Regions from separate parts of the Mus musculus genome. Here regions 1, 2 and 3 are each reported to be linked to region 4. The links are microRNA targets in miRTarBase. Many come from high-throughput screens and were not tested one by one. Region 4 holds a microRNA gene; each other region holds the end of a gene's coding sequence.
The links. Region 4 holds the annotated microRNA mmu-miR-3085-3p (UCUGGCUGCUAUGGCCCCCUC, at 2,313-2,333, opposite strand). A microRNA usually pairs through its seed, bases 2 to 8, with sites in the 3' UTR of a target mRNA and lowers its output. Matches are read on the target gene's strand: a 7mer-m8 pairs with bases 2 to 8, a 7mer-A1 pairs with bases 2 to 7 and ends in A, and an 8mer does both.

Region 1 (7,120 bases), not on the chromosome of region 4:
AGGACGGGTAACAAGCAAGGTCTTTGCCACTCAGCAGCAACAGTAGCTGTCACACCATGACAGTCCCTAAATAGCTGTGAGATTCTGTCCCACCCCATGACAAAAAGTAATGAAATGAAATTCACTCCTTACTGGAGACTTACAGCTATGCCTTTGAAACTCAAGTTTTTAAAGCAAACCCATCGTCATGGTAACCCTCTTAAAACAAGATGTGACCTGGCTCAGAGAACATGCAGGGTAATTACAATACTGCTTTGTATTTAGCTCCACCTTTCTTTTGAGGGCTTTAATGGACCTCACTCATTAAGCTCCACAAACACTCTCTGAAGTCTTCAGGGGACAGATACTATTAAACCCACTTTACAGATGCACACACCAAGGAATAGCAGTCTTAAGTGGCTGTGCCACTAACTGGCAACTTAGCCTTGAGCAAGTCTAGACGAGACCCAGGTCTCCTCTTGTTTCCTCTGTTGTCTTCTCTAACAGACTCCATGCTAGCTTTGGAAAGCCCTCCATCATTAAAGGATTAGTTTCTCACAGCCTGGTCTGGGGATCCCTGACTCTGCCATCTATGTACAAACACTGATGTGGTACAGAGGAAAAACGGTGAGCAGGGGTTGTGGCCATGGGACCACAGAAATGGGAAGATCTGCAGAGGGCACACCCACCTGTGAGGGTGACATGACCTAAGACTGGAGCATCAGCCATTCTGATGTCCTAGGGCCCACAATGCTGACATCAAGCCATTCCTGTTCTAGTCTAAGTCCTCTGTCCTGTGCCAGTCACACTGGCCAAGGCTCTGTCCTCCCTGAGCACCACAGCAAAGTTGCCCTTTGAGTCTGTGCTGGAGCTCTGGGATTCCTGGGTAAGGCTCTATGGCTTCAGAACTGTTTTACAGGTCTTCCTGGGGCATCTGCTGTATGCCCTGGGGTCTATTCCGATTTCATTCAGCCTTATTCCACACTACTCATTGTATTGCCTGTCATGTCTTCCTCCTCCTCCTCCTTCACCTCCTCCTCCTGCTTTCATGGGTGCTGGGAGTAGAACCTGGGACTCCCGCAAGAGCAAGTGTTCTTAACCACCTGAGTTATCTCACCTCACCAGCCCTAAACTTTTTTTTTTGTTGTTTGCTTCATTTGGTTTCTCTGTGTAGTCCTGGCTGTCCTGGAACTCACTTTGTAGAACAGGCTGGCCTTGAACTTAGGGATCCTCCTGCCTCTGCTTCCCGATGCTGACACCACTGCCTGTCTATATTGCTTGTTTTCTTGTGACTCTTCTGCTTTCCGGTGAAGACAGAAACTGCACCAGAGCAGGGCATCCATCTGTTTAGTTACTTGCAAGGAGCGGTCAGTGAATCAACTCAACAAACCATGGCTTTGCTGTTGGGCCTGAGGAGGAAATAAAGATAACATGGGGCGGGGCAGGGAAGGAGGGGGGGCAGTGATGAATTTTATTCTGAGTACGAGGGACCAGAGGACCATAATACAGAGGAGGGGGAGGGGGAGGAAGAGGAGCTGGGGAAGGACCTCAGAGCCTAAGTGCAGTGTGAAAGGGAATGGGGGATGGGTGTGTGTGTGTAGGGGGGTGTAGCACTAAGTCCAGAAGGAAAAGTTTCATTAAGAGGCAACCACAGACCAGGCAAGGGAAGCTTGGCAAGACTGGAGGGACACAGTGGAGCTCCAACAGAGGAGCAGAGTGGGGCCCTGAGGAGGAGAGATTCCAACATTCCACCCATTTTGCAGAACTCAAGAAGGGTTAGAGGAAGAGAAAGCTGCCCCCGGGTCAACCAGGTGTGTGAGCAGAAACTGGGCAGTGAACTGAGGGAGGCCGGATGGGGAAATCCAACTGGGGAGGTGTTCCGGCCAGCTGGACTCGAAACCCCCTCAACTCCCAAGTCTAGGATGCATCATTCTGGCCTACATCTAAAAGAAACTCAAGGTTACTTCAAGTACATAGCTGGACTCCTTCCCACCTGTCAGCTTTGAAGTCCTATTGGGTTGGGCTGGGAGCAAGGATCATCAAAGGATGAGAACTTCCTCTTCCATCTGATGTGTGTGTGTTGGGGCATCTCACTAGTCAGGAAGCCCAGGAGCACAGCAGGCCTCCACCTTCCTGCAACTCCCATTCCAGGCTGCCAAGCCTCTATGGAAGCCCACTCACTGGACACTGCTGGACACTTTCTCAACTGAGGTTCTCTCTGAAAATGACCCTAGTGGTGTTTAGTTGACTGCAAAGTATGCGGCACGCCATCCATTTACAGACACAGATCAGGAACCAACTTCTCTAATGCCATGTTTTCTTCTTTACAAAAAGTTTTTACTAAAACATTTACTTGAGTTGTGTGCACACGTGGAAGCACACACACACAGACAGACACACACACACACACACACACTCAAATACATCTTACGGGAGTCAATTCTTTCTCCCATGTGGATTTCAGAGCCTGAACCCAGGTCATCAGGCTTGTTAGCAAGCACCTTCACCTATTGAGACATCTCACCAGCCAGTCCCTCACCCACACACTGACCCTTCTCTCATGCCCTCTTGACCACATAAGTTCCATTTCTGTTTCCTTATGTTAAACTTTCCCCTAAAGGTTATTTATTTATAACGTATATTTTCAACTTCCTTTTCCCTGTCCCTCTGTCAACCTTTGCAATTTCATCTTTTTGCATCTCATCTCTGAAAGCTCAGGTGGGAATCACTTCTTAGGCATAAAGGTTAAAGTCTGACATTAAGTAGAAAGTTGAACTGATAAGTGGATATTAGCCCAGAAACTTAGGATACCCACGATATAAGTTACAATTTGCAAAACACATGAAACTCAAGAAGAACGAAGACCAAAGTGTGGACACTTTGCCCCTTTTTAGAATTGGGAACAAAACACCCATGGAAGGAGTTACAGAGACAAAGTTTGGAGCTGAGACAAAAGGATGGACCATCTAGAGACTGCCATATCTGGGGACCCATCCCATAATCAGCCTCCAAAAGCCGACACCATTGCATACACTAGCAAGATTGTGCTGCTAGGACCCTGATATAGCTGTCTCTTGTGAGGCTATGCTGGTGCCTGGCAAACACCTAAGTGGATGCTCACAGTCAGCTATTGGACGGATCACAGGGCCCCCAATGGAGGAGCTAGAGAAAGCACCCAAGGAGCTAAAGAGATCTGCAACCCTATAGGTGGAACAACATTATGAACGAACCAGTTCCCCAGAGCTCGTGTCTCTAGCTGCATATGTATCAAAAGATGGCCTAGTTGGCCATCACTGGAAAGAGAGGCCCATTGGACTTGCAAACTTTCTATGCCCCAGTACAGGGGAACGCCAGGGCCAAAAAGTGGGAGTGGGTGGGTAGGGGGGTGGGGGGAGGGTATGGGGGACTTTTGGGATAGCATTGGAAATGTAAATGAGGAAAATACCTAATTAAAAAAAAAGTAGAAAGTTGAATGTTCAATTCCATCCCACTCAGTCATTTGTGACAGGGCAGGAGAACACAGCGTTCCTCTAGCTTGTCTTCTTGCTGAGGCCACTTTAGGTTTAACTAGAATTTGCTCTCCTCCATGGAGAATCCTGTGGGAAATAATTACCAACTCTAAGAGGTCAAGATGCTCCAGCTAATTTACCTTGGCTTCTGTTATACTGCTTGCTTGTACAGCTCTTTCCCTGCAGCTGCCAAGTGAGATACCAGGATGTGGTTTTGCCTTAAAAACCCCTTATGCTAAAAGCTTGGTGCTGTACTGGGCCTCAAAGACCTGAGTGCAGTCACCATTGGCAGCTATGGACTACGTCTGAGTGGTTTTCTCTGGTGGGCACCCCATAACGGCTTAAATAAACATTGCATGATGTGGTAGGCATTGTTCGAGAGATTAAGATACACAGCTACAAACAAAACATACTGATTAAAACATTCCCCCTAGTCCTTATTGAGTTGGCATTCTGGAAACAGGAGCTGACACTGGACAAGCTAGCTGAGAACTCACCGTGAGCACGTTGCACACTGCTGGGGCATGCTGGTCTACTCGACTGTTCCCCATCCATTCTTGTGTGTACCCGACACTTTCCATAGTAAGGTTCTAAATTTATGCTATACTTATTTGTGTGTGTGCACATGTGTGTGCATGAGTATATGAGCATGGATACTCATGTATAGGTCAGATATGATTTACTGTATTTGGTTTTCTTCTTCCACTCAAGAAGACTCTGTGGTCCCCGTGGTGACGTTTTGAAAGCATATTAAATGGAGTACCATTTGTAAACACATGCTGACACTGGGATGTGACAATGTAAATGGGGCAGAATTGACCAGACAGGAGAGAAAGTAACTTGAGAGGCCTGGGGGAGCGTGGGGAGCTGAGGGAATGCCCGGAATGTTCTAGAAAGAGGAAGGTCAGTGTGGTGACAGCAAACAAAGGAGTCTGTGCCAGGCAGGGTCCTTCAGGGACTCAGGATGTTACTGGATGAGAAGAGAACCAGGGGAGGATTCTGAGGAAAGGATCTGAACTCAATCTTCTTCCCAGAAGCCCTTCTAAGTCCCGCACCCCTGGGCCTGTATTTTCTGCTGTCTGCCCTGTGTTAATCCTGCCCCTCCCAGCATGTCTGCTTCCTTCAAAGGTTACTGATGAAAATACTTGAAACAGAAGATTTAGGCATTGGGATTGGGATACTAAAGCTTTGAGAGGGATCTGGAGCAGAAGAGCACACATCACTCAGGAACCCCAGTCCTCCAGGGCCTGGTGCCCAGCTTTGGTGCTACACTTCTCACACTAGCTCCTAAGTCTCACCGGGAAGGACAGCTGCTGGCAGGACTGGACAAAGCCACATCCTAGTGCTGGTAACGAGCAATCACAGGTTAGGGTTTGAGCCTGAAATGTCTCCCACAGGCCTCTAACTTAAACATCTGTCCCCAGATAGTAGTTAGGATGTGTGGGGATGTTCTTTGAGGTGAAGGCTAGCTGGCAGAGGTCAACCACAGGTTGCTCAGACAAGCCCTTTAAGGCCCTGTCTGGGTTTCCATTTCCTGGCCTGTAGTGATGTGAACAGCATCTGCACACCCTGACACCCTCTGAAACTAAGAGCCAAGATGAATCCCTTAAGTCCATATTGATTATTTTGGTGATAGGTGTACAAAAGCAACTGATATAAACACAGAAAAATGACAGAGTGGGATACCAGCATGCACAACAATTTTAAAATGGGAAACTTTGAGAAAGGGAAGAGAGGGCACCAGGGGCTCACAGCCCCAGGAGGGATCTGCTTAATAGTTAATAAAGAGGTAGGAGTGTGTGTGCGCGTGGGTACGTGGGTGCGTGCATGCGCATGTGCAGATTCATGTACCAACAGTCAGAAAGTTCTTGAGTACACATCACAGGCTAAAGAGACAAGGGTCCAACAACACTGACTGCTAACTAATGTGTCCTGCCTTGTGGACTCACCATAGGTACAGCCTAACGAGCTCCCATTCTATTTGTTTACATGAGAAACTCCAAAGTATGGAAGCTAAAGTGAATTTTAAATTTCCACAGGCAGGAGTCTTCCTCAGAGAAAATGTCCAAAGAAAAGCATCTCCTTTTATAGGCGCTGCCTGTATCAAATAGTACTTCATCAGAAAATAACTACGTAATTTTGTGATAAGCTAAACAAATAGCCAGTAGCGTTCACTTATTATTTATTAATTTATACCCTTGATATAAAAATAGCTTAAAAACTATACAAAGGAATATAAGCAAGCCAGTCAGCCTGCCAACATACTCATGCACATAAACAGGGCCACTCAGCAGTCATCATGTGACTCAGTCCTGAGGGGCAGAAGACAGTGGGGACAGACACTCTGGCTGGGCCTGGTGGTGCATCCCTTTAACTTCAGCACTCAGGAGGCAGAGGCAAGTGGATCTCTATGAGTTCAAGGCCACAGATTGAATTCCAGGACACCCAGAGCTACACGGAGAAACCCTGACTCAAGTCTCAAATAAACAAATGACAAAAAAACAAAACAAAACAAAACAAAAAACCCCAAACCATTCTTTTTTTTGGGGGGGGGGGGTTCCAGACAGGTTTTCTCTGTGTAGCTCTGGCTGTCCTGGAACTCACTCTGTAGACCAGGCTGGCCTCGAACTCAGAAATCCGCCTGCCTCTGCCTCCCAAGTGCTGGGATCAAAGGCGTGCGCCACCACGGCTGGGCTAACCCAAGCCATTCTTACAGCATGATAATGTCCTGTTTCCAGTAGAGGGTGAACTTTTCACTTCATGGAGGCCTTTCCAATATCTGAAATGATGCCTGATCATCAGCAGGGGAGAAGACAAGATTTAAGGGGGGCGGGGGAGGGGGAGAGAGAAAGGGGCAGCCACTTGGAAAAAGCACCCAGGGCCAGGGACTTCTCCAGGTGGGTAGTGGGCCAGTCAGACCACCAGCACCATGCACACACATCTACACGGAGCCTGGGTGTGATGCCCTTGTGAGAATCCATGGGGAGAAGCACAGCGTCTAGTTGCTCGTGGGCACATTTCTTTGGTCAGTGAAAGGGCCGGCCTCTTCTGGGTCTGGACCTCAGGTGGCTGGCCGACCTGCGCAGATTTTTCCTTTCCTGACGATGCAGTTTTTCAGCCTCCTGTTGCTTCTTTTGCTGTTCAGACTAAAAGAAAGTGAGGTGAGTAGAGGAAAGGGTCTGCTATAACCCTCAGGGAGGAGCAAAGGCTGCCAGACACACAGTCCTGCGACCAACACTGTGCAGCTCAGCATCACGTCCTGGTGGCGGCAGGAGTTGGACAAAGAACAATTTTCACTGTCAAAGGAGAAATTCTGAATCCCTGGGCAAAAAGAACACACACACCGGGAAGTGTCTGTCCACACACCGGGAAGTGTCTGTCCGCACACCGGGAAGTGTCCGCACACCGGGATGCTCTAAGAGGACTCATGCCTACTTCTGCTTGCACACTGAAACTCTGAATTCATTCACAGACTTAAAGACAAACAAAAAATGTTGCATTTTATCAAATGCATATCAAACGTGTTTTTTATCACACACATATTAAAGTGCATTATGACCTACACCTGATTAGATAACTCATTAGGGCTGGCTCCAAAGAGCTTTTGGATGCTAGGGAGGGAGAGAGAAAGA
Region 2 (7,120 bases), not on the chromosome of region 4:
CTCCCACAGCATCACTATGTGCCGTGTAGACTCAGCTCGAAGCCACTCATTGTCTTACACCTGGTCCTCAGGATGAGCTGCTCAAGGGCTCTTTGCTTCACCAACTCCCGAGAAAACTCCCACAGGTAAGGTGAACTAAGGTGGGTGGAGCCAATGTACACTAGACTCTCGTAACACCTGGCTTCTATTTCTTCTCTGCCCAGGCTGTACCTATTAGCACAAGCTTTTGGGGGTGTGAGTGTGGCTGAATTCTCCTCCCGCTATGGGCCTGGCCAAAGGAAGAAAATCTTGAAGCAGTTTGAACAAGGAAAGATCCAGCTGTGAGTACCAGGGAAACAAGATAGGACCTACTCTATAGAGTTGGGTTGTCGTTGGGACCCCCTAGTTTCCGAGCAGCTGATTTCCAAGAGGGACTTGGAACTAACCCTGGCGGAGTAGGCACAGGGGTGGATGTTTGTTCCTGGCCCTCAGCCCTACTGCCTGTGTTTCATCAGCCTTATCAGCACAGATGCTACTGCTCGAGGCATTGATGTGCAGGGTGTGGAGCTGGTGATCAACTACGATGCCCCACAATATCTGAGGACCTATGTGCACAGGTAAGGGGTACTTGGCAGTGGCCATTGATAGGCCACATTACGGATTCTTGGTCATCCTATGTAGGATCACCCTGCATGATGGTCATGTACAGTATGGCCAAGAGAGGCACTGTCCTGTCAGGTCTCTGGGCCAGGAGCCACTGTCCAAAAACACTCGTGCTCGGTTTCAGGGTCGGGAGAACAGCTCGAGCCGGGAAAACTGGACAGGCATTCACACTTCTCTTGAAAGTGCAGGTAAGATTGTTTAGTTCTTAGCAGACGTCATGGGCAGAGCCAAGCTGCTACAGATGCCGGCCTGATCAGACTCCTTCCCATGAAACGCCTCCCTTCCAGGAAAGGAAGTTCCTTCAGATGGTGTCAGAAGCTGGGGTGCCTGAGCTGACACACCATGAGATCCCCAGGAAGCTCCTGCAGCCGCTGGTTGCTCGTTATGAGACAGCCTTGTCTCAGTTGGAGAAAACTGTCAAGGTGAGGCCTTCTGCAAGTGGAGGCTCTGCCCTCGAAATGCCATCACACACAGGAGAGGGAGGCAAGCAGGAAGCAGCCTCATGCCATGGGAGGTGCCTCCTTTAGCATGATGTCTGTTGTCTCTCAGGTGTAGGGCTAGGGGGCTGTAGCTAGCAGTAGGGATGAAATGGTGCAAAGCTCGTTTTCCCTCCACAGGAGGAGCAGAAACTGAAGGCAGCCTAGATGAGAACAGGGCCCTGGAGGGAAGATCGTGCGAACAGAAGATAAGTTCCTTGGGGTTCCAGTGGAAACAACCCTTCTCCCCAGTGCCGTGGGCATCTGGTCGTCTTGGTTGATGCAGCCTAGATGGTGGCCTCGTCCTGAAAAGTAATGGCTCTCGGGTTGGACTGCTGGTGTCCAGTTGGTCTTGGGAAATAAGCTCAGGTGAAGCTGAAGGATGCCTTCTGGAGTGTGAGCAAACACTATGGTGACTGGACTGTGGTGATCAAAGTGCTTATACGTTAGCGTCTCCTGTCTACAGAGAAGCTATGGCGAGCCTGCCCCAGGCAAGTCACTGGAGCCCAAGAACAGGTTGGCAGCAGCCTTGAAGATACTTCCTTGGCTACTAGTCTTCAAGATTGTACTTTATAATTAGCCTCCCACCCATTTAAGTTCTTAAATGATGTGAGAGTCCTTCCCTGAATATATATAGTCAAGGAGAATTAGCGCTTACCTGTGCTTTTAAGAAGGCCTGTTTTTAAAAAGTCAGTGTATCAAAAAAGATAAACATTTTCATTTGTATTCAGAAAAAAATAAATGGATCACTTGAACCTATACAAATTCCCGATAGCTCCAACACAGCCACTTAACTACTCCTCTAACCCAGAACACCTAGGCACAGGCTACGGGTACTATCTTCAGGCCCTTGGAACTTGGATAAGGGGAAGCTTCCCACAGCTTTAACCAGGCCTCCCTCCCTTTTAAATTTCACATATATGAGTGTTTACCTGCATGTATGTCTGTATAGCATATATGCCTAGTGCCCAAGGAAGCCAGAAGTGTTTGTTGGATCCCCTAGAACTGGAACTACAGGCAGTTGTAAGCTGGATCCTCTACAAGAGCTTTAATTACTGAGCCATCTCTGTGTCCCTGTCCAAGTCCTTTTTAAATCTGAAGCTACCACAGCCCTGGCTTCCCTTACTGGTGCCTTGTTCCAGTTGCCTTGGTTTTGCCTCTTCTGTGACCTTTCAGAACATGCATTGCCCTAGACCCAAGCTAGCATCACTTTCTTTCTCACAGGATCAGACCCTTCCCCTACACCCAGAGATCTCCCAAACACTGTCTGCCAAGATTAGGTTAGTAAGATCATGTGCTGGCTTTCTATCTGAATTGGTGATACTAAAAGGGATAGATGCTAGGATAGCTGACTGGGTGTTCACAGTGTTAGAACAAGCTTAATAACTTGTAATTAGACCAAACCGATATATAAAGTGCATGAGGATTGCAGTTATGAGGTTTGGTTCATGTGTGTTGGGCCCAGGAAATGTTTTTCCAAAGCTTGTTTTAAGGAAATGCCTGTTTTCTAACAAAATCTTAGGTAGAGCCTAATAGTAGGAATAAAGTAGGCAAAGCCATTGTGGGAGGTTCAAGACTGACAACAGCATCAGGCATTTTGCAGAAGAGGTTAAAACTGGGGGAATAGTTTCCACAGAAGCACCGAAACAAACGTGGGCTCATGTCAACATTAACCCTGCCAGGTAGAAGCCACTGAAGCTACCCCACAGGAGGACACAAGACAGTGAAACATTTGGAGTAACTCACTCATCACACTATAGGGCCTGTTTGTTTCCCAGGCCTGTAGTGGTTACCTTACAGCTTTCTCTGCCCTGGACCATAGCTCTGTGGAATTTGCATCTGACCCTAGCCTCTTGCTGTGTGGGAGGTTGCTCACTGGGGAGTAGTACCCAAAACTGAGAGAGTCAAAGTAGCCGGTGTCATTCTGATTCTTTTTTTTTTTTAATGTTTATTTTGTTTGCATGTTTATTTGTGTACCATGTGTTTGCAGTCCATTATGGAAACCAGAAGAGGGGGACTGAGTTACAGTCAATTATGATCTACCATTTAGGTGCTGGGAATTGAACCTGGGTCCTTTGGAAAAGCAGCCAGTGTTCTTAACTGTTGAGCCATCTCTCCAGCCCATCATTGTGTCCCTTAAATCACAGCCTTTATGGGTAAATACTGATCTCTCACAGGGTAGTCACAGTTGATTTTTGAAAACAGCTGGTTTTTTTAAAAAAATGTTTGTTTACTGAGCAGGGTTCTCTGCATAGCCTGGCTGTTCTGGAACTTGCTCTGTAGACCAGCAGCCTTGAACTCTCCTGCCTCTGCCTCTTGAATGCTGAGATTAAAGGCCTGTGCCACCTTCACTCCTAGCCAGATACAGATGGTTTTAATGTGAGTTATTAGAGCTAGGATTTTCACAGACCAAAACTGAAAGATCTTGCTGATGAGAAGTCTGGTCTGAAGGTCAGACTTCCTTTTGAGTAATCAACATTGTGTTACTAATGCTTTCAGCATTTCATACAGTGAAATTTGATCATATTCACACACACACCCTTTTCTCCCATATCCATCCTTACTCTCACCTCCCCACCCATCTAGCCCCAAGGTTTTCTGTTGTTGTTTAAACCCATTGAATTGATTTGTATTATGGAGTGTGGTTCCTGCCCTGCAATGTGGTCAGCCTACTAGGGGTCACACTACCAAAGAAAACTGAGTCCCTCTTTCAGTAGCAGTAATAACAGTAGTTCCTCAGCTTATACAGGTCTTGTGCATGCCATCACAGTCTCTGTGAGTTCATATGCCTTACTGCTCTATTGTGTCTTGAAAGCATTTTCCCTTGAAGTTATGTACTGCCTCTGGCTCTTAAATTTTTTTGTACCCTCTTCCTTAAAGATCCCTGAGCTTGGACAGAGAGGTGTGAAATGTTCCACTTAGAGGTCAACACTCCACACACACACTCTCACTCTGGACTTGTTGAGCAGCTGTCATCTGAAAGCTTTTCTGATGAAAGTTGGCAGTACACCTACCTATGGGGATAGCAGTGTCATTAAAAGTCATTTTTTACCCTGTGCTCATTTTACCCTGTGCTCAAGCCTGTGACTTATACAGCCACAGATTCTTGGCTCCATTAACAGCACCTACTATTTCATGGAGTAAGCCTGAGATTTAATCAGAAAGTGGTTGAGCAACTAGGGAAGGCTCAGCAGTTAAGAGCATTTACTTGAATAGGGTTTGGTTTGGTTCCTAGAACCCACATGGTTTACAACTGTCTACAACTCCAGTTCCAGAGGCTCTAATATCCTCTAAGGGCACCAAAGGGCACCAGTTGTACATGGATATGTTGAAGAAAAAAATTATAATTTTCAAGGAAACGGTTGGTGCCTGGCTTGGTGGCCCACACCTTTAATCCCAGCACTTGGGGGCAGAGAACGGTGAATCTCTGAGTTCAGGCCAACCTGGTCTACAGAATGAGTTACAGGACAATCAGGGCTACATAAAACATATCTACAGAAGGTCTTTTAAAAGGCCTTTAATCACAGAAGAGCACATCAGATGCCATTACAGATGGTTGTGAGCCACTATGTGGTTGCTGGGAGTTGAACTCAGGACCTCTGGAAGAGCAGTCAGTGCTCTTAACTGCTGAGCTGTATTCAGCCCCAGCCATATCTAATCACTTGAATGATGTTTTGTTGTTGTTGTTGTTTTGCTTTTTTTTTTTTTTTTTTCTCGAGACAGGGTTTCTCTGTATAGCCCTGGCTGTCCTGGAACTCACTTTGTAGACCAGGCTGGCCTCGAATTCAGAAATCCTCCTGCCTCTGCCTCCCGAGTGCTGGAATTAAAGGCATGCGCCACTACGCCCGGCTCGAATGATGTTTTAAAACCGCTGAAAATTCCATTGTGTAAAGGTGCATTTTTTTCATCAGTTGATGGGCTTCTAGGCTGTTTCCATTTCCCGGTTATTGTGAATAGAGCAATTAACATGGAGAAGCAGCACCCTGGAGAAGTAGATAATAGAAGCTTGGGTATATGCCCAAGGATGTAGCTGCATCATGGGGTAACTTTATTCTCAACTTTTTGAGGAACTGCCATGCTGACTTACAGTGGTTGTATCAATTTGTACTCAAACTGGTGAAGGATGATCCCCTTTCTCTACAGTCATGCCAGGTTCTACTGTCTATTTTTAAAAACCTTGTCCATTCTGAGTGGTGTAAGATATTTGAAGTCTCAAAGTTGTTTCCCATTTCCCTGATGGCTCAGGGTGGTCAACATGTTTTTCAGACATTTCATTAAAAAAAATATTTTTGAGGTAGGTTTTGTCTTGTTTTCTTTTTTGGATATAGGGTTCTCTCATTGGCAGTTCTGGAGTCCTCTGTGTAGACCCAGCAGACCATGACCTCACAGAGATCTACCTGCCTCTGCCCACCAAGAGCTGGGATTAAGGGCTAGAGCCATCATGTCCTGCCCAGCCCAGCTTACTTATGTGTCTGAGTCTTCTGTCTGCTCTTAACAGCTGAGCTATCTCTCCAGCCCACTGTATGTCTTGAGAAGTTTTAGTTCCTTGCTGTATTTTTGTTTTTCGAGACAGGGTTTCTCTGTGTGGCCCTGGCTGTCCTGGAACTCACTCTGTAGACCAGGCTGGCCTCGAACTCAGAAGTCCTCCTGTCTCTGACTCCCAAGTGCTGGGATTAAAGGCGTGTGCCACCACTGCCCAGCCTTTGCTGTATTTTAAAGATTGGCTTATTTCCTTGCTTGTTTTTTAGGTTTAGGGTTTTTTGTTTTGTTTTGATTTTTAAAAGACTTTTAATGCTTATGTGTGTGGTATGTGAGCATAGGTTCTCTCTAATGGCTGTGTGTTCTAACTGCTGTTAGCTCCCCAGTCCATGTTTTGAGAGTTTTTTTTAGTTCTTTGTGTCTTCTAGACACTAATTCTCTACCAGATGTGTAGCTGGTAAAGACCTTTTCTCCTTCTGTAGTTGTTTCTTCACATGAATGATACTGTCCCTTTGTTGTACAGAAACCTTAAGTTTTATGAGGTCCCATGGTTTTACTGCCTGCACTACTGGGGTTCTGTCCAGAAAGTCCTTCTGTGTGCTTTTAAGTTTATTCTGCCCCACCCCCGACCTCTATCAGATTCAGGGTATCATGCCTTACACTGAGGTCCTTTGATCCATTTGGAGTTGAGGTCTGGCAGGGTGAGAGATAAGATTCCAGTTTACTCCACATCCTGCTTTTCAGTTTGACCAGCATCATTTATTAAAGATGTCTTTCCTCTGGTATCTTTGTTCCCTTTATCAAAACTCAGATGGTGGTGGGGTGTGTGGACTTACCTGGGTCCTCAGTTCTACTGCATTGGGTAATGTGCCTTTTTATGCCAGTGCCATGCTGGTTTTACTACTATAGCTCCATAGTGTGACTTTAAAATTGGGGGTGGAGATACCCTCAGCAGCTCTTTCACTGTTCAGGATTGAATTATTGATTAGAATTATTTATCAGTTAATGGTGTTACTGATGTGTGTGTGTAGTCTGTATTTTCTGTATAAAATTGAATCCATATATAATTTATGTATAAAATCATATAATTCTTGGACATCATTTCCTATTTTTGTTGTGTCTCTTTCACTTGTCTCTCCACTTAGATTCCAAGTTTTATACCCAACACGAGAAGGGAGAGTAGACATTCTTGTTTCGTTTTAGTGGAAATGTTTTGAGGATTTCTCTATTTAGCTTAGGTTTATTTTGCCTTTATCATGTTGAAACATGTTCCCCTTCCAGGACACAGAAATGTTGGATTTTGTCACAGGCCCTTTCTGAATCCAATGAGATGATCATGTGGTTTGTCCTTGAGTCTGATTATGTGTGGTGTATTAAGTTTATTGACTGACCCATGCTGAATAATCCTTGCATGTCTGGGATGAAGCCATCTTGATCATGGTGTATCTTTAAAAAAATTACAAATTTAGTTTTAAATATTTGAGAATTTTTACATATATGTTAAGAGGTTGGCTTTTTTTTTT
Region 3 (7,120 bases), not on the chromosome of region 4:
GAATTCTTTGTTCAGACCTATAGCCAAGGTTTTTGTGTTGCTTGTTTTCTTGATGTTCATATTTTTGTTTTGTTTTGTTCTTTAGCTCTTTATGTTTTCCTTTAGACTGCTTTTGTCCTGGAATGTTTTTCTATTTCAATTATAACAGATGGTTTTGCTGGATACCATGATCTTGCTTGGCATCCATAGTCCTTCATAACTGGAAATACACCACTTTAGTCTTTTTGGCTTTTAAAGTTTCCATTGAGAACTCAAATGTTACTCTAATTTGGTCTTCCTTATATGCAACTTTTTCTTTATTTCTTGCAATTTTCAATATTTCTTTGTTTTGTTTCTTTAATGTTCTGAGTATTATACAGCATGGGGAATTTCTCGTTTGATCTTTGGTATCCAGTGGGTCTTTTGTATTTAGATGGGCATCTCTTTCCTTAGATCTGGGGAATTCTCTATGGTTTTAGTTAAAGTATTTTCTGTGCCTTTAATTTGGATTTCATCTTCTATATCCATAATATTTGTAGGTTTGGCTTTTTTTTTCATAGTGTTTCAAAGATCCTACATGTTCTTTTTGTGTGAGCTTGATTTTTTTTGTCTTGTTAGACTGAATGTTACAATTCATCCTCTTTGAATTTTGATCCTGATAGTTCATCTTCCATGTCATTGTGTCTACTGGTGGAGTTTTTCACTGAGCTTTTTGTGTCAGGGTTTATTTTCGTTTGGGTTTTCTTTAATATTTCAATCTCTTTATTGAATTTCATTTTCATACCCTGAATTGTCATTCTTATTTTGTATGTGTTCTTAATCTTCAGTCTGGTCTTTGTTCATGTTCTCTTTGAGTCTTGAACATATGTTCTTTTGAATTCATTGTCTTAAGTGTCATTTTAGTTGTTGTCAATGAGAGCCATTCCTATGGAATTAAAGATTTCCTGGAGGAGATATATTGTCTTTGTTTTTCATGTTTGCATTTTTATGAAAGGGCCTGAGTAGGTGTATGGAATTAGGGCTTTGGTCATGTCTTTTGGGATGGTCTGCCCCACCTTTGTAAATAGGCATATGCTTCTCTGTTTACTGTTATGCTAGTTTGACAAGTTTTGTATCAGCAAATGCCTGAAGTTCAGTCTTAGGATCAGTCAGAACTGATTTGTGAAGGGTTCAGCAGAGCGATTTGTAGCTCAGCTACAGAAAGATGTAGTTTCTGGCCTCACCAACAAACACCCCAGAGAACAAGGAGGTCCTCCTGGCAGTTGCTAAGAAACAGGCTAGAGTGCCAGAGAACAGAGGTAGAGTGCTACAGTGGGGTTTGGGTACTCAGCACAGGGCCTTATAATACCCATTACCGGTGGTACTATATTCTCAGAGGAAGGGAGAGTTGAGAGCAAGCAAGGTGGTGGGCAGGGTCTCATTTGGCCTGCAGTAGGATCCCAGAATAAGGAAGAAGTGAGTGTCATTTGTGGACTGAGGAGCTTGTGTACTTGGGGGCTCAGTGCAGGCCATCAGGTAGTGGAGCTAGGTTCCAGCATTAAGGGGAGGAAAGGGATATCTAAAGGATGAATAAGTGATTCCACAGATACCCAAATGGCAGAGGTAGCCTGTGAGGCCTTTAGCCTGACAGGCATTTGAGGGAATACTCAAGTGGGCACAGGACAGAAGAAATGTGTATTGGGAGTAGAAGGTCTGGATCTCTTATCTGCCTAAGTTGAGTGGATAGAAGCCTAAATTTGAACCACATCACAACCACCTTCTTCCTAGGACCCATTCCCTTAGTTTTCACCTAAGGAAGTTCAAGGACATTAGTGGACTTAGTCAAGATTACACTAAGCCTCTGTGAAAGATGCACAAAATAGGGAGGAAGTGACTTCTCACTGTAGATACCACAGGAGGTTATGGAGGAATTTTGCTAGGGTTTTCTGTGCTGTAGATGGAGATGGATAAATAGGGTGGCTAGACAATCTACATGGGAGAGTAGAAGACAATGTTAAATATTATTTCTGAACTAAACTTGTTAGGTGGGTAATCATTGACCATCACTAATGGAGAGTCAACAGTGGAAAAGCTCAGTGGAGATTGAGTGTTTAAGGACATGACAAGAGGTGACTTACAGAATCCATAATAAAATATGAAACAAATCAAGACTTGTTGACTGCTACTTAGTGACTGCTGAGTTAGCTACTTTCCTCATGGTTGTGACAAAGTGCACAGCAAATGTGATTCAAAGAAGGAAGGATTTGTTTGGCCAATGGTTTAAAGGGATACAGTCCTACCTTCAGGCAAAGCACAGCAGTGGGCATGAGAGGCACCTGGCTACATTGCATCTGCAGTCAGGAGGTAGAGAGAGGCTCCCTCTTTCCTCTTATGGTTTTTGTTCAGTCCAGGGCTCCTGCCCATGGCATGATATCACGCATATTGAGAGTGGGCCTTCCCTCTTTAGTTAAACAGCTATGAAAATACCCTCAGAAGGTGTACCTCAAGATAAATTCATCAAGCTAATGATGAAAATTAATCAGCACAAATTCCAAGAGCCACGCTCAGTATCATACATACATTCAATTTAATCAACACCAAAACTGTAGGAAGAAACTTGCTGTTGTCAAACTGGGGAACACAGTCAAGGAGGCTTGTTGATTATTCTTGGGGTATCAGAGAGAGCCAGTGATGTGTCATACATAACTTGACTCTAGGTAATCCAGCTGCAGAACCTACATTCTTATTACTCCCGAGACACTTTTCCTTCATATCAAAAAGAGTGAGAATTTCTTCCTGAGCACAGAGAGTAATGGCAGAATCTGGAGTCCTTCCTATCTGAGAGTCCTTATTTTTCACACATTCACAAAAACATAATTTGGTACCAGGGGAAAAGTAGTGTAGAGGAATAAATTAAATAAGATTGCAAGAGTAAAGGTTGAAGGCCACATGGGACTTTGGTATTTTGTTTTTCTCGTTTTTATACTTAGGTGAAAATGTCATAATAAAATATTTTTGATTGACCATTTCTATTTGATGAAGAAAGGGGGTGATAGCAGAAGTAAGACCAGAAGACAAGAAAGTCATTAAATATTAAAAATGACCTCCACCACATGACAGAGTGTAAAGTGAGCACCCGTAGCCTGATATGTCTACATTTACACATTTATTTGGGTTTAGAGAGAAAACACAGGTAAAATACTTTGATCATACACAAGTTTATATTTGGTAGCATAGGTTGCCACATTTGTTTTTATTTTATTTTTTCTGTCTTTAGTTAATGTAGTGGTGCTGGGGAAATGTTGACATTATTCAGAAACACCATTTGGCAACAAGATCTTTGCATACACAACTAATTAATACACAGTGTTTGCATTTAGCACTTGAAAACAGAAAAGCACGTGCAAGATGATACCTGGTTTGATGTTTTTGCTTCTTTGTCCTGTTACTATATTTACACCTGTGCATCCTTTGTCCATGTTCTGAGGAGCAGCACCTTCTCCAAGACCCTGTAGAGTCAATACCTGCACTGTCAGCAGCCTGTGACGCTCCATAATTGGTTTCTCTGGCCTCAGAGATGAAGCATTTTGTGTGCCATCACACAGTTGTCAAAGAGATTTCTTAGGGTGGGACTTAGTTGAGGTTATGTTTTCTCTAAGAGCCAATGGAGAGGGCACACAGCTTGGGACTGGGTGAAAGGGTGAGGGTAGAAGAGAGGCAAGGACAGGAATGGATGCAAATGTAGTTCTCATAATTTCAAAGTTCAAAGTTCAATACAACTACCACATAGAAGAAGACACACTGGTAATACATTGTGCAAGTTTTTACAGCAACACATGTTGTTTTGCAACACCACACAATTCAATATAAAGTGCACAACCTCAATCTGAGGTGACAAGACAGTACTAACAATGTACTAACGGCAACACTCACACACACACACACACACACACACACACACACACACACACACACGATTTTCTTTCTTCAAATCCTGTGACAGAACATGAAGTCTATACCACTTAGAAGTCTTAGATAAACACATACTGCACTTTTTTCAAGTATTTTAAATAATAAATGAAATATTGCTATATAAATAAAAATTAGCATATCAATTCTGATTAAAACTGAAACCAATGTTTAAAAAGAAAAAAAAATCACAGATAGAGACCATTGGCACTGGGGATTTGGACCAACGTTCAATATAGTCTCCCTCCATTATTACTCCATTATTACTCTTTCATCCCATTTTCCTTAGCACTCTCCTGAGTGGATGGCAGAGCTGCTGTAGAGGATCTATTAAAGTACTGGGCATGCATGTACCTCCTTTTCTAGGATACAGGATGAGAAGATTTGCATGCCCGAGCAAGGCTCCTAGAAATTTTGAGGAAGAATCTGGAGAAGAAGGGGATTGGAGATCCAATTCACTAGCAAAAAGTGCATGGACACAACTTTTTAAATTCTGTCATCTCATCAAACTAGAAGCCAGCTTGAGCTACTAAGTCTGTCCCCCAAGGGCTAAGCTTTCCATCTATCAGACAGTAGGCCCTTCTGCCTTCTCTAAGCGGGACACTCGGTTTGATAAGTGAGTCTCTGCCCGGGAAGTGAGATCTGTGGGCCTGAGGCACAAGATGGATGGGCAGCTGCATATTTACTCTCAGCAGCCAGGTTCTAGAAAGGAAAGTTATGCCTGTCCATTAGGGAGTGCTGACCTACTTCATGACACTCTGGTGTACAGGTTGTTTTCTTTTTGGCTGTCTAGACAGCAAGGGCCCAAAGCTACAGTCATACTGAGGATCAGTATGTCTAGTCAAATAAGGTCTGGGCTAAGTTGTAAAGATTTGTGGTAGTTAGGGACAGGGCCTTCTTTCTTCTGTTCCTGTATCTTTCTGAGTACCAAAATGCCCATCCATATGGAGTGGGAGAATGCTTCCAGACTGGTACTTGCCTTTTGCATGTAAAAGTCCATAGTTCTACCAGCACTTAGATCTGTTCATCTGTGACTTAAAGTTATCATGGGAGCTGTTGATCATTCTCCATCCAGTTTACAGGGAAAGAAACGTATTTTCAAACTCTTGATTTGAATTTTAGCGATCTCTGCACATTCTAGTCACTGTGGGTCTTGATGGGAGGCAGATAAAAGAAGTTCTTAGGCTACCTTGAAATTGCTTGCATGAGGAACTCATTTCAGGAAAGGAAAAGAGCCACATGGGATAGTAATTCATTACTAGGGGTCTGGGGGCAGGGAGTCTAGCAGGAGAGACTTTAAAGTGTGGGATGGAGAAGGAATTTGAAGAAGAGAGCATCTGGGATGCAAACGACCCTTTCCCCAGACAGTAGCAAAATGGCATCTGGGAGGAAGCCATTCTTGTCATACAGAGGTCTCGACTCCCATGACTGGGTTTAATATTCTGTGCTTATCACACTTAAGGAGTGTGCTGTACCCCTCTTTGCTAGGGCTGATTTGGTTTTATTTTCACCCTTTTTCCTAATTAATCCAGATGATCTAATAAAAGAATATGGTTTGAAAAGACACTTCAAGAACTAATATCAACCTTTGGTTGAAAGCAGGCCGCCGGGAAGCAGAGTGGACGAGCTTGCCTGGATCTGGGTCCAAGCTGGGCTTGCCTGGCTTCTAGACAGGGTCTGCGAGGTCAACTAGTGCAACATCTAAACAGGAAGAGAATCTTAATTGTTGATCTGTTCAATTGTTTTTAGAAGTTTCATTTTTGTGTGTGTTTGCTTTGAAATACTAGCTTTAGGGATATGATAAGCCACAATGTATTCTAAAGTAAGTTATTACATTTTAAAAGAATTTTGTGGGTTCTATGTTAAAACTATCTTGCTAAAGTGTTTTATTGTGCCTCCATGAGAAGAAAGATAGAAAAAAGTAAAGAAATAACTCTGGCTTATGTTTCATATCTGCCTCTGCAGTCTGTATAACCCATATAAAATAAAATCTATATGTTACAAAATAGGATTTCTTTTAATATATATTTTTCTTTTGTAAAATTATATGTATTTAAATACATTTGAAATGTTGCTCTAGGTAAATTAGAAATTCTTTTCCTAATACTATGAAAAAGGCAAGAGTTTTTCTTGTCCACATACATTTTATATTTACTTTGTCCTTTTCACTGTACCCCAGAGAACCTTTTATGATTCAAGGGTGATTTGGCACTATTTATTACTACTGCTCTGAAGTGAAAATAAGGTTGGATTAACATACTATATTAAAAGGGAAGTATTTATAACAATTTTATACTTTCTCTTACTGATTAGAACACAGCCTTTTGTCACTAATTATTAGAGAGGTATTCTAAACTTAAGAAAGGATTTTAAAAAGGAGTGATGTTTCCTGTTGGTTTTGATTTCTTTGTTTTTTGGTTTTTTTCGAGACAGGGTTTCTCTGTGTAGCCCTGGCTGTCCTGGAACTCACTTTGTAGACCAGGCTGGCCTTGAACTTAGAAATCTGCCTGCCTCTGCCTCCCAAGTGCTGGGATTAAAGGCATGCGCCACCACCACCCCACTGGTTTTGATTTTTTTAAACTGTACTCTACTGTGACACCACGATATAGAAATAGAATTATTCTGGAACAAACTACAAATACATTTACACAGTTTGTGACAACTTAGCTGTCTACCTAGAGAACTGAAACAGTTTGATGAGTGAGGTGATTACAAATCTTGTCCGAGGCGTTCGATTTCTTCAATAAGGAAGTCAATGTCTTGGTGAGTTGCTGCAGGGTTTGAGATGACCATGCGGAAGAAGTTGACCTTGTCCCCTAAGGGTTGGTAGCTGACCATTGTGGTCCCATACTCCATCATTCTGGCTTTAATCACTGGCGCCACCTGTGGAAGAGAACACGTCAGTGCAACGACTTTCTCTCTATCTCCTTTATGTTAGTTATGCAATCAATGTTTGTATGTTATGCAGTGCATCCCATAGCAAGTGGTGTTTTTAGTTTTTAACTAAACAGGACCACAATTTTCTCTTGAAGGAACTGCTTCAAGTTTTCATGAGATCAGCAAATAAAAATAGCTCAGAATATTAAAAACCCTAAATATAATAAGAGACTCGTCATCTTGCAGGAAATGAAAAGAATCTTTTCCTGGGGTTAAATGGTTTAACAGTACTACACTGAAGAGAGTTTCACCCTAA
Region 4 (7,120 bases):
ACAGTGTCCCAGAGCCAACCCCAAATTTTCCCCCTTTCTCTTCTCTGCATCTTCCTGGAACAGCAGAGATGGGTACATCTGGTTTGCCTTCCTCTGTCTGGTTTCTACCTGTTCTCCTGCCATTCAGGAGCAGTCGGGAGCTGGGGTGTGTTTCTCCTTCCACAGAGGGAAGGAAGTCAGCCCTTAGCTTGGAGGGGCATCCAGCCACTCGGAGGGTAGGAGTTTTTGTTGCTGCTCTGGGACTGGCCATGCGAGAGGAGCTACCTTTATGATAATGAGAGGCCTCAGTTGGATTTTCTTCTTCCTCACAAACTGGTGTGGTGGCATGGATGGGCTCTGAGCAGAGCTCCCTAGGAATGGTGGCAGATTCTCCTTGCTCCCCTCCTTGCTAGCTCCTGACCTGCCTCCTTACTCCCAGCTGCCCAGGGGTCTCCTAGAGAGGGTGCCTCTGTCTTGGAGTGCTTCCAGGATCAAGCGTGTGGTTCTTTTTGTCACTTGGTGGGAGGAATCAGTTCCACCCACTTAGTCTTAAAACCGTGGTCGCATGCTTCTGAAACAGTGGAGCTTTCTGGGGAAGGAAGTGGGGAGTCGTACCCTGGCCTGAGGTCTTCAAAAGAGCCAGGGGCAGTGTGACCCCGAGGAGGACCCACGGGGTCGCAGAATCTATGGTTCTCAGTCTCCCTGTCTGCAAAGCATGCGGCAGAACTAGAAGACCTCTCAGGTGCCTTGGCACTAGCTGCTTGGGGAGTCTGTTAGTGCTGATGGAGACTGTCTAGAAAAGTGCCGTGGCTTCCAGCAGCCTCTGCTCTGTGCGGCCCAGCCGACCTCATGCCTACCCAGCTCTATTTACTTTATTTATATCTTTGGCAATGATGCCCCGTGAGCACTATGTTGAACCTGGCATATGCCAGGGCCAGGGAGCTGGCCTCTGCCCCTTGATGGCTATTTGTGGTCCTGCTGTCTCTTTCTCACTTACCTGCAGCATCCCAGGGCAGACAGTGCACACCTCTGGTTGTTCCAGGCACAACTGTTGAGGAGCATGGGAGCTTTGACATCAAATAGAACCTGGCTCCATCATCAATTGTGGTATTTATTAATAATGAGATCTCTGATTTATAGGAGGTGCACTCCATGCCAGACACTGTGGCAAGTTTAATACAATAACTGTGAGGTATCCGTTACTGCTAAAACTCAAGTTTAATAAATGTAAGCTTCATACTCATTTTAGAGACGAGAAACTGAGATTCAAGTATATTTTACCTACTTTAAATCTTAAATACTTTAAATCTTAAATATCTTTTTTTTTTCCTCTAGGGGCTGAGCACTCTGGCCCACCCTACCTAAAGTAACAGTTTGCCTCTACCCAGGTGCTCACAAACTCCCTTAATGTCTCCCCTCTTCCCCCACTCAGGATTTTCTAACACACAAGACTTTTACCGTCATGTTTATACGAGCATGCCTTGCCAAATGTCAACATGGAAGAGATGTTGCCAGTGTTGTTCACCGATAAATATCCAAAGCCACTAGAATAATGTGCAGCACATAGTGGTCTGTATTTGATTATCAGTGACCAGTTGGTTACATAACTCCCTCAGGTGCAAATTACCTGGAAACTGAAAGCACACAGCTTAGGAACCCAAGCTGCAGAGTAGACAGTTTGGGGTCTAAATTACATCGTCAGCCACTTCAGTGAACTCTGACCCTGTGTAGCTTGTTCTTCCCAAGCCTCAGTTTCCTTGGTAATAGAGTAGACCAGTAACATTTGCCTTTCAGGATGGAGTAAGGATTAATGCAGACATCTATGCAGTTTTTGGCATATAGTGGGCATTCCGTAAATGTTAACTTCTCCCCGAGGATGCTCTTGTGTCTTCTTGCTTCTCATTTCTCCTCTGATGGTCTACCCTCTGACTGAACCACTGTTCCACAGTGCTGTGTAAGAGGGCAGAGCTGCTGAGGGCAGAGGACAGTGGGATTATCTGTCCTGTTAACTAGCCCTAGCTGCCTGCCTCCTTCTTCCTCCTTCCAGGATGTTCCTGTTGCCAAGGAAACACAACCTCAGCCCTTGGCAGGTTTCTGACTCCCTGTGGCTTGGCTACTGAGCTTACAAAAGGAATGAGACAGCGGTGACCATGGGCAGAGAGGTAAGGGGAGGGATTTGACTGTCCTCCTGAAGTTGGAGTCTGGAATCTCTGGAACCCTGAGATGATGAAATGATGAAATGTTCTCTGTCTCCATGTTCCTCTAACAGAGGCTGTGTTGGAGTTCTTGCTTGGTCCAGCCTTCTTGGTAGGGATGTGATGCCCAAGCCCTGGGAGGGGGCCATAGCAGCCAGAGTGACTCATATTCAGACTCTTGGCCCTCGGAATGGCACCTTCCCAGAGTTGGGACTGTTGGTGATGGAGGTGACCTGGAGAAAGTGACCAGGCTGGCCTGGTGAGGGCGCTCTCCATGTGGGTGTGGCCTGCTCTTCCTGCAGGCTTTGGTGTGACTCTGGTAGGATTGCTTCAATTCTCAGCTCTCTGGGAACTCTGTTTCTCCCTTCCCACTTAGCCCTTGACTTGGAGAAGGATGAGAGACTGTGGCTTCTGCCCAAACCAGTTGGCTACCTGAATGAAGTGGGTAGGCACGGCAGGGCAGGTAAGCATGCTAGTGGGAGACAGCCAGACTGTCTGGGACGCCACCCCACCTTTGCTTATCCCAGCTGTGTGATCCCGAGGAACCACTTAACCCACCCCTATAATTATAGCCTCTTCCTCTAGGGATTGCTGCAGGGATTAAGCGAGTTGGTTCTTGTAAAGAGTTTATGTCCAACCTAGACACGCTGAGCTCACTCACTGAAAGCCATTATTGTCATTCTGAGGGGGAACATTCCTGGAGGAGACTGCATCAGACAGAGTAAAAGCGATATTATTGTTGTAGTTATTATTACTATTAAAATTGTTAAAGATCGTTTTGAGGGGGTATTCTTGAAAAATGGAACGAAGGATGGGAAGGATCCCACTTCTGCCTTGGCTAGAGTTGATCATGTGTTATTCACCTGCCCTGAAGGTGGCTTTTCCATTTTTTTTTTTTTTTTTTACTTTTTACAACTTGGAGCATAACCTAAAAAAAAGATGTCAGGGACCTAAGTGGGTCTATGGGACAGAAGAAAGATGGGTGTGTGTGCTCCAAAGTGGACAACGAGGGCTCAGAGGCCATGAGCCTCAGGATGAGGAAGTGGAGGAGTTAAGGGGATGGGGACAGTGGCCTCCTAAGCCTTGCTGAAGCTTGCACCCACTCACCCGTGGCTGATAACGCTCAGGAAGTGAAATGAAGGTCTGGAGCCAGGGGCACCCAGCTCCAATATCTGGATGCCTGGTGAGTGGCGGGCAGGTGATGTTGGGTTGGTTCAGAGTCTGCCCATCTTCCATAAAGTTTAACCTGGTATTTTTTTCCTCCAATATAAGCTTCTTGGGTGTAGGAGACTTAACCTTCTCACTGAGGGGAGCTGGTTACCTTCTTCATGAGAAACCCACGAGGTCCTTAATCAACACTTGCTGAATGGACACACGGATAAATGAATGCATAGTGTTTGCTTCTCAGGCGCAGTAACCTGAGAACCTAGCTAGACTTTTAAGAAAGCCCCTTATAGTCCCCTCCCACACTATACTTGGCTTTTTCCATCCAGCTGGAGGGAAGGTGGTGTGCGTGTGGGGTATCAAACATGTTATCTTTACTCACTGTTACAAACCTAGAGCCCTACCCAGGCCCTGTTGCAGAACAGGGGCTCAGCCAATAGCTGTTGAATGAATGAACGCCACGGAAAGCCTTCTTACCCTGAGTTTGCTCTCAGCAGTTAGGGAGCCTTGAACTTCTTTCTTTGACTCCCCTGACATTCCCACCAGATAGGATGAAATGGCACTGCCAGACCCCGTGGCCTGAAACTCAACCGGGGGTGGGGGGGGGGGAGGGATCAGGCATCCTCTGGAGTTGGCCGTCACACTTGGTGTCCTTGGCAGGCTGTCTCGCTGGTTTTTATTTTTATTTTTTCCTACTCCCATTTCTCATGCTGACATGTGTGGCCAGTCAATGGAGCTCGCTATCTTGTCATTTCCTACTGCTCTGCGCTGCATTTGCGACCAGTCCCCGTGGGCTCTGGGTCTTCCTTGTCTTACTATCTCAGATCCACTTGTTCAGGTCTGAAAAGGCAAGGGCTTCCGGGGTGAACGGGGAAAGGTCTGAGCAGCAAGTGTACAGCCGCTCACCCTTAACATGATGGCAGGAAGAGCTGCATGCCTGGTGTGGGGGGCCAGCTGGCTCTGTGACCTTGGGCAGGGTGACCTCCACCACTTCATCTCTCTGAGTCTCATGTCTGGGGCCCTTGCAGATCTTTAATTCCCTGTCGATGGGTAGGGACGGTGCTGGTGGAATTGGAACGATTTTTAAGTTGTTATGTGCTTCCCAGGGAAATTGTAGCTGTTTTCATTTTAAAACTTTTCATTTAGGCTCTGGTTCTGAGTGTAAACACAGCGCTAGCTACAAGGAATTCATATTTGGTGATTTATTGGGAATATTATTATGGTATCAGGAAAGGGTAGTTTTTTGTTAAATATGTTTTTAAAAGGCTTGCTGCATTCTTAAGCATGATTTTATTATATCTTCAAGCGACTTTTTTCCCCCATGAAGAATATATCTGTGATTTATAATGGGCCTTCACTAGCAGAGCTGGTCATGAGCATATTCTGTGGTGTTACATCATCCCCAAAGAGTACTCTGGCTACGGGCACTCCCAGGCTCCCAAGCATATTGCAGAGGCTGAGTTGCTAAGTTCTTTCTAGAAACCAGCACTGCTGGAGACTCACCATACCTATGTCCAGTCACGCAGCGGGGAGTTGGGGAGAACAGGGGGTGTATGGATGTACTGACCCAACTCTCTTGTCATTTACGGAAAGGCAATGGGGTTCCAGAACGGAGACGTTAATTCCTGGAAGGATACTGCACTGATACAGCACTGCCTCCGTGCCTGCCCCTCACCCACTCCACGTGCCTTGTCTGGTCCTCCGAGTATTTCCTTCACCCAGCCGCACGGCTGGGGCCCGAGGACGGCACTTCCCTTACGCCATGACTTGTTTCCTTGTACCCCCTGGTGGAAGGGTCACAGCTAATTCAACACTCCAACCAGCATGTACTTGCTCAGACACCCCCTCCCCCATGGCTAATATCCAGCAGAGTCTACTGGCATCATTTCTCCAGAAAAGAGGCTGGAAGACTTAGCAAGTTCAAACTTAAGCATTTTTTTTTTATCAACAGTCCCAAAGGGCCACCCTTTCCCTTTCCGTCGCCACCACCAATCCAATAAGGCTTCCGTAATCATAGGAAATCAGGTTGTACAAAGCAGCAGCAGCAGCACAGGCCGGATCAGCAGGCACAGGATACATTACTGAATCAACCGAGCCAGCAACCACCCAGGAGCCATCTTTGTCAAGGGCAAAACAAGAAGAAGCTCACGAAGATACAGAAATGACTGGACTCTCTTGGTTCTTCTCACGGAAGGAGGGGTGGGGTAGAGGAGATAGTTTTCCTTTTTCTGTTTTCTCAGAAAACATGCAAAGAAAGGCTTCACCAACAACTAAGGTCCCATCAGTATCTCCCAAACTTCCCTTTTCAAAGATGGCCACCCCTGCTGTCCGTTCGAAGGAGCACATGGCGGGATCTATGGGGTGTGGAGAGAGGTAGGCAGCAGGAGAGATATAGTTTTCCACAAAGGTTGTTAGATTTTTTTTTCCTTTATTGATGGGATTTAAAGTGCATATAACTGAAGGCAAAGTCCCAGGCCTAGAGAAAGATACGAGGCCTGAGAGAGAGGCTCAGAGAGTCTAAAGGCAGCCGATGAGTACCCACCTAAAAAGGCCACTTGAGCTGCAAAAAAACAAACAAAAGCGCAGGGAGGTAAAAAAAAATGGGGAGAGACAAAGGGTTGGTTGGGAGGAAGGATTTTGGGAGGAAGGATAAGACAAACACTAATTCAGAAATTATCTGCCAAAGGTGACTTGGAGGAGCTATTTGCATCCCAGCTATGAAAACACTTGCTTCAAGGACCACGAGTAGTGGGATAACGATAAGACCAGGACACGTTACCCCGGGGCCCTTCCAGTGGGACAGGAGTGATAGGGCCTCTCCAAGCCTGGCATGGTCTCAACTGGAGAACTATTGTGAGTCTAGGAGCACCTATCAACCCAGGGCGATGCAGGGGCTAATGGCTGTGGCCTGGAGCCCACTCAGAGCCACCCGTCCCTCCCTGCCACTCCCCAGCACAAGGCACGTGTCTTCTGCTACTGAATGTGGCCAGGGTTCCACTTACCCACACAGGCTGTGCCGTCTTCATTGGGTTCATAGCCCCGATTGCATCTTTTATTGGTCCGGCACCTGTAGCTTCCATAGGTGTTGACACATACGGGTTTGTCTCGAGGGCACACAAATGGGAACTGGATGCATTCATTGGTGTCTGCAAAGCAAGGGAGCCACTCGCCAGGGACGTGTAGGCAGTGTGCCCTAGCTTGGGATCTGTCTGCCCACTGAGCTGTGACCCTGGGCATGTCCCTCCTTGCTGGGCCTGTCTCTCTACTTCAGTGCTCTAGGATAGCTCCTCCTATCCTGGCCTGTGCACACTGGGAGAGCTCAGGCTTGGTCCTGGGTCTCTTCTGTACACGACACTTGCTCTAGATAAACTATACGTGGATGAATGTAAACTTCCTGCCTTCAGCCGTAACCTCTCCTCTGGGCTCCAAGCTCCTGAGTCCAATCACCACTGACCTAGATGTCAGTTCCACCTCGATGCCTAATCCCCACCTCAGACTGATCATTTCCAAAATGGAACTCTGATTTCCCTCAGCCCTTAAGCCTCTTCTGTCCTGTTTCCATCTTCCATGGTTTCATCAGTGCTGCCACCAACTACTCAGCCACGCAGCGAAATCAGAGTCATCTCTGGGTCTCCCCTTACCTCACCCCAGGGTGCAATCGCACAGCAGGGGTCCTATCCACTCTGCCCCCACCATCTCATCTGTTTGCTTTCCTCACTCTGCCCCCACCTGTACCCAGCCCCCACGATCTCTTGCCTGGATTTCTGCAGTGGCTGCCTTAT

Region 1: the mRNA of Nol10 is a reported target of mmu-miR-3085-3p. Seed matches in the 3' UTR shown: 8mer at 6,072-6,079 and 8mer at 5,832-5,839.
Region 2: the mRNA of Ddx51 is a reported target of mmu-miR-3085-3p. Seed matches in the 3' UTR shown: 7mer-A1 at 2,094-2,100, 7mer-m8 at 3,203-3,209 and 7mer-A1 at 3,475-3,481.
Region 3: miRTarBase lists Gad2 as a target of mmu-miR-3085-3p. Seed matches in the 3' UTR shown: 7mer-m8 at 6,378-6,384 and 7mer-A1 at 5,862-5,868.

What each region holds. Positions count from the first base shown.
Region 1 is chr12:17,428,629-17,435,748 of GRCm38, reverse strand. Nol10 (nucleolar protein 10) reads right to left here. Exons shown (of 21, transcript NM_001008421.1): 21 at 5,654-6,634. The coding sequence ends at 6,515. Among named protein-coding and RNA genes, the nearest start is that of Gm36752, 4.3 kb to the left of the region's middle.
Region 2 is chr5:110,656,322-110,663,441 of GRCm38, forward strand. Ddx51 (DEAD box helicase 51) reads left to right here. Exons shown (of 15, transcript NM_027156.3): 10 at 10-125; 11 at 204-320; 12 at 495-596; 13 at 767-830; 14 at 930-1,064; 15 at 1,260-4,175. The coding sequence ends at 1,286. Among named protein-coding and RNA genes, the nearest start is that of Mir7026, 6.3 kb to the right of the region's middle.
Region 3 is chr2:22,689,863-22,696,982 of GRCm38, reverse strand. It overlaps Gad2 (glutamic acid decarboxylase 2), which reads right to left. Exons shown (of 16, transcript NM_008078.2): 16 at 3,106-6,810. The coding sequence ends at 6,637. Among named protein-coding and RNA genes, the nearest start is that of Mir3967, 39 kb to the right of the region's middle.
Region 4 is chr19:42,277,783-42,284,902 of GRCm38, forward strand. It overlaps Mir3085 (microRNA 3085), which reads right to left and starts at 2,388; the gene lies at 2,300-2,388. It overlaps Crtac1 (cartilage acidic protein 1), which reads right to left. Exons shown (of 15, transcript NM_145123.5): 14 at 6,341-6,484; 15 at 5,253-5,898. The coding sequence ends at 5,780. Gm34347 (a long non-coding RNA gene) reads left to right here. Exons shown (of 3, transcript XR_386718.4): 1 at 1-2,141.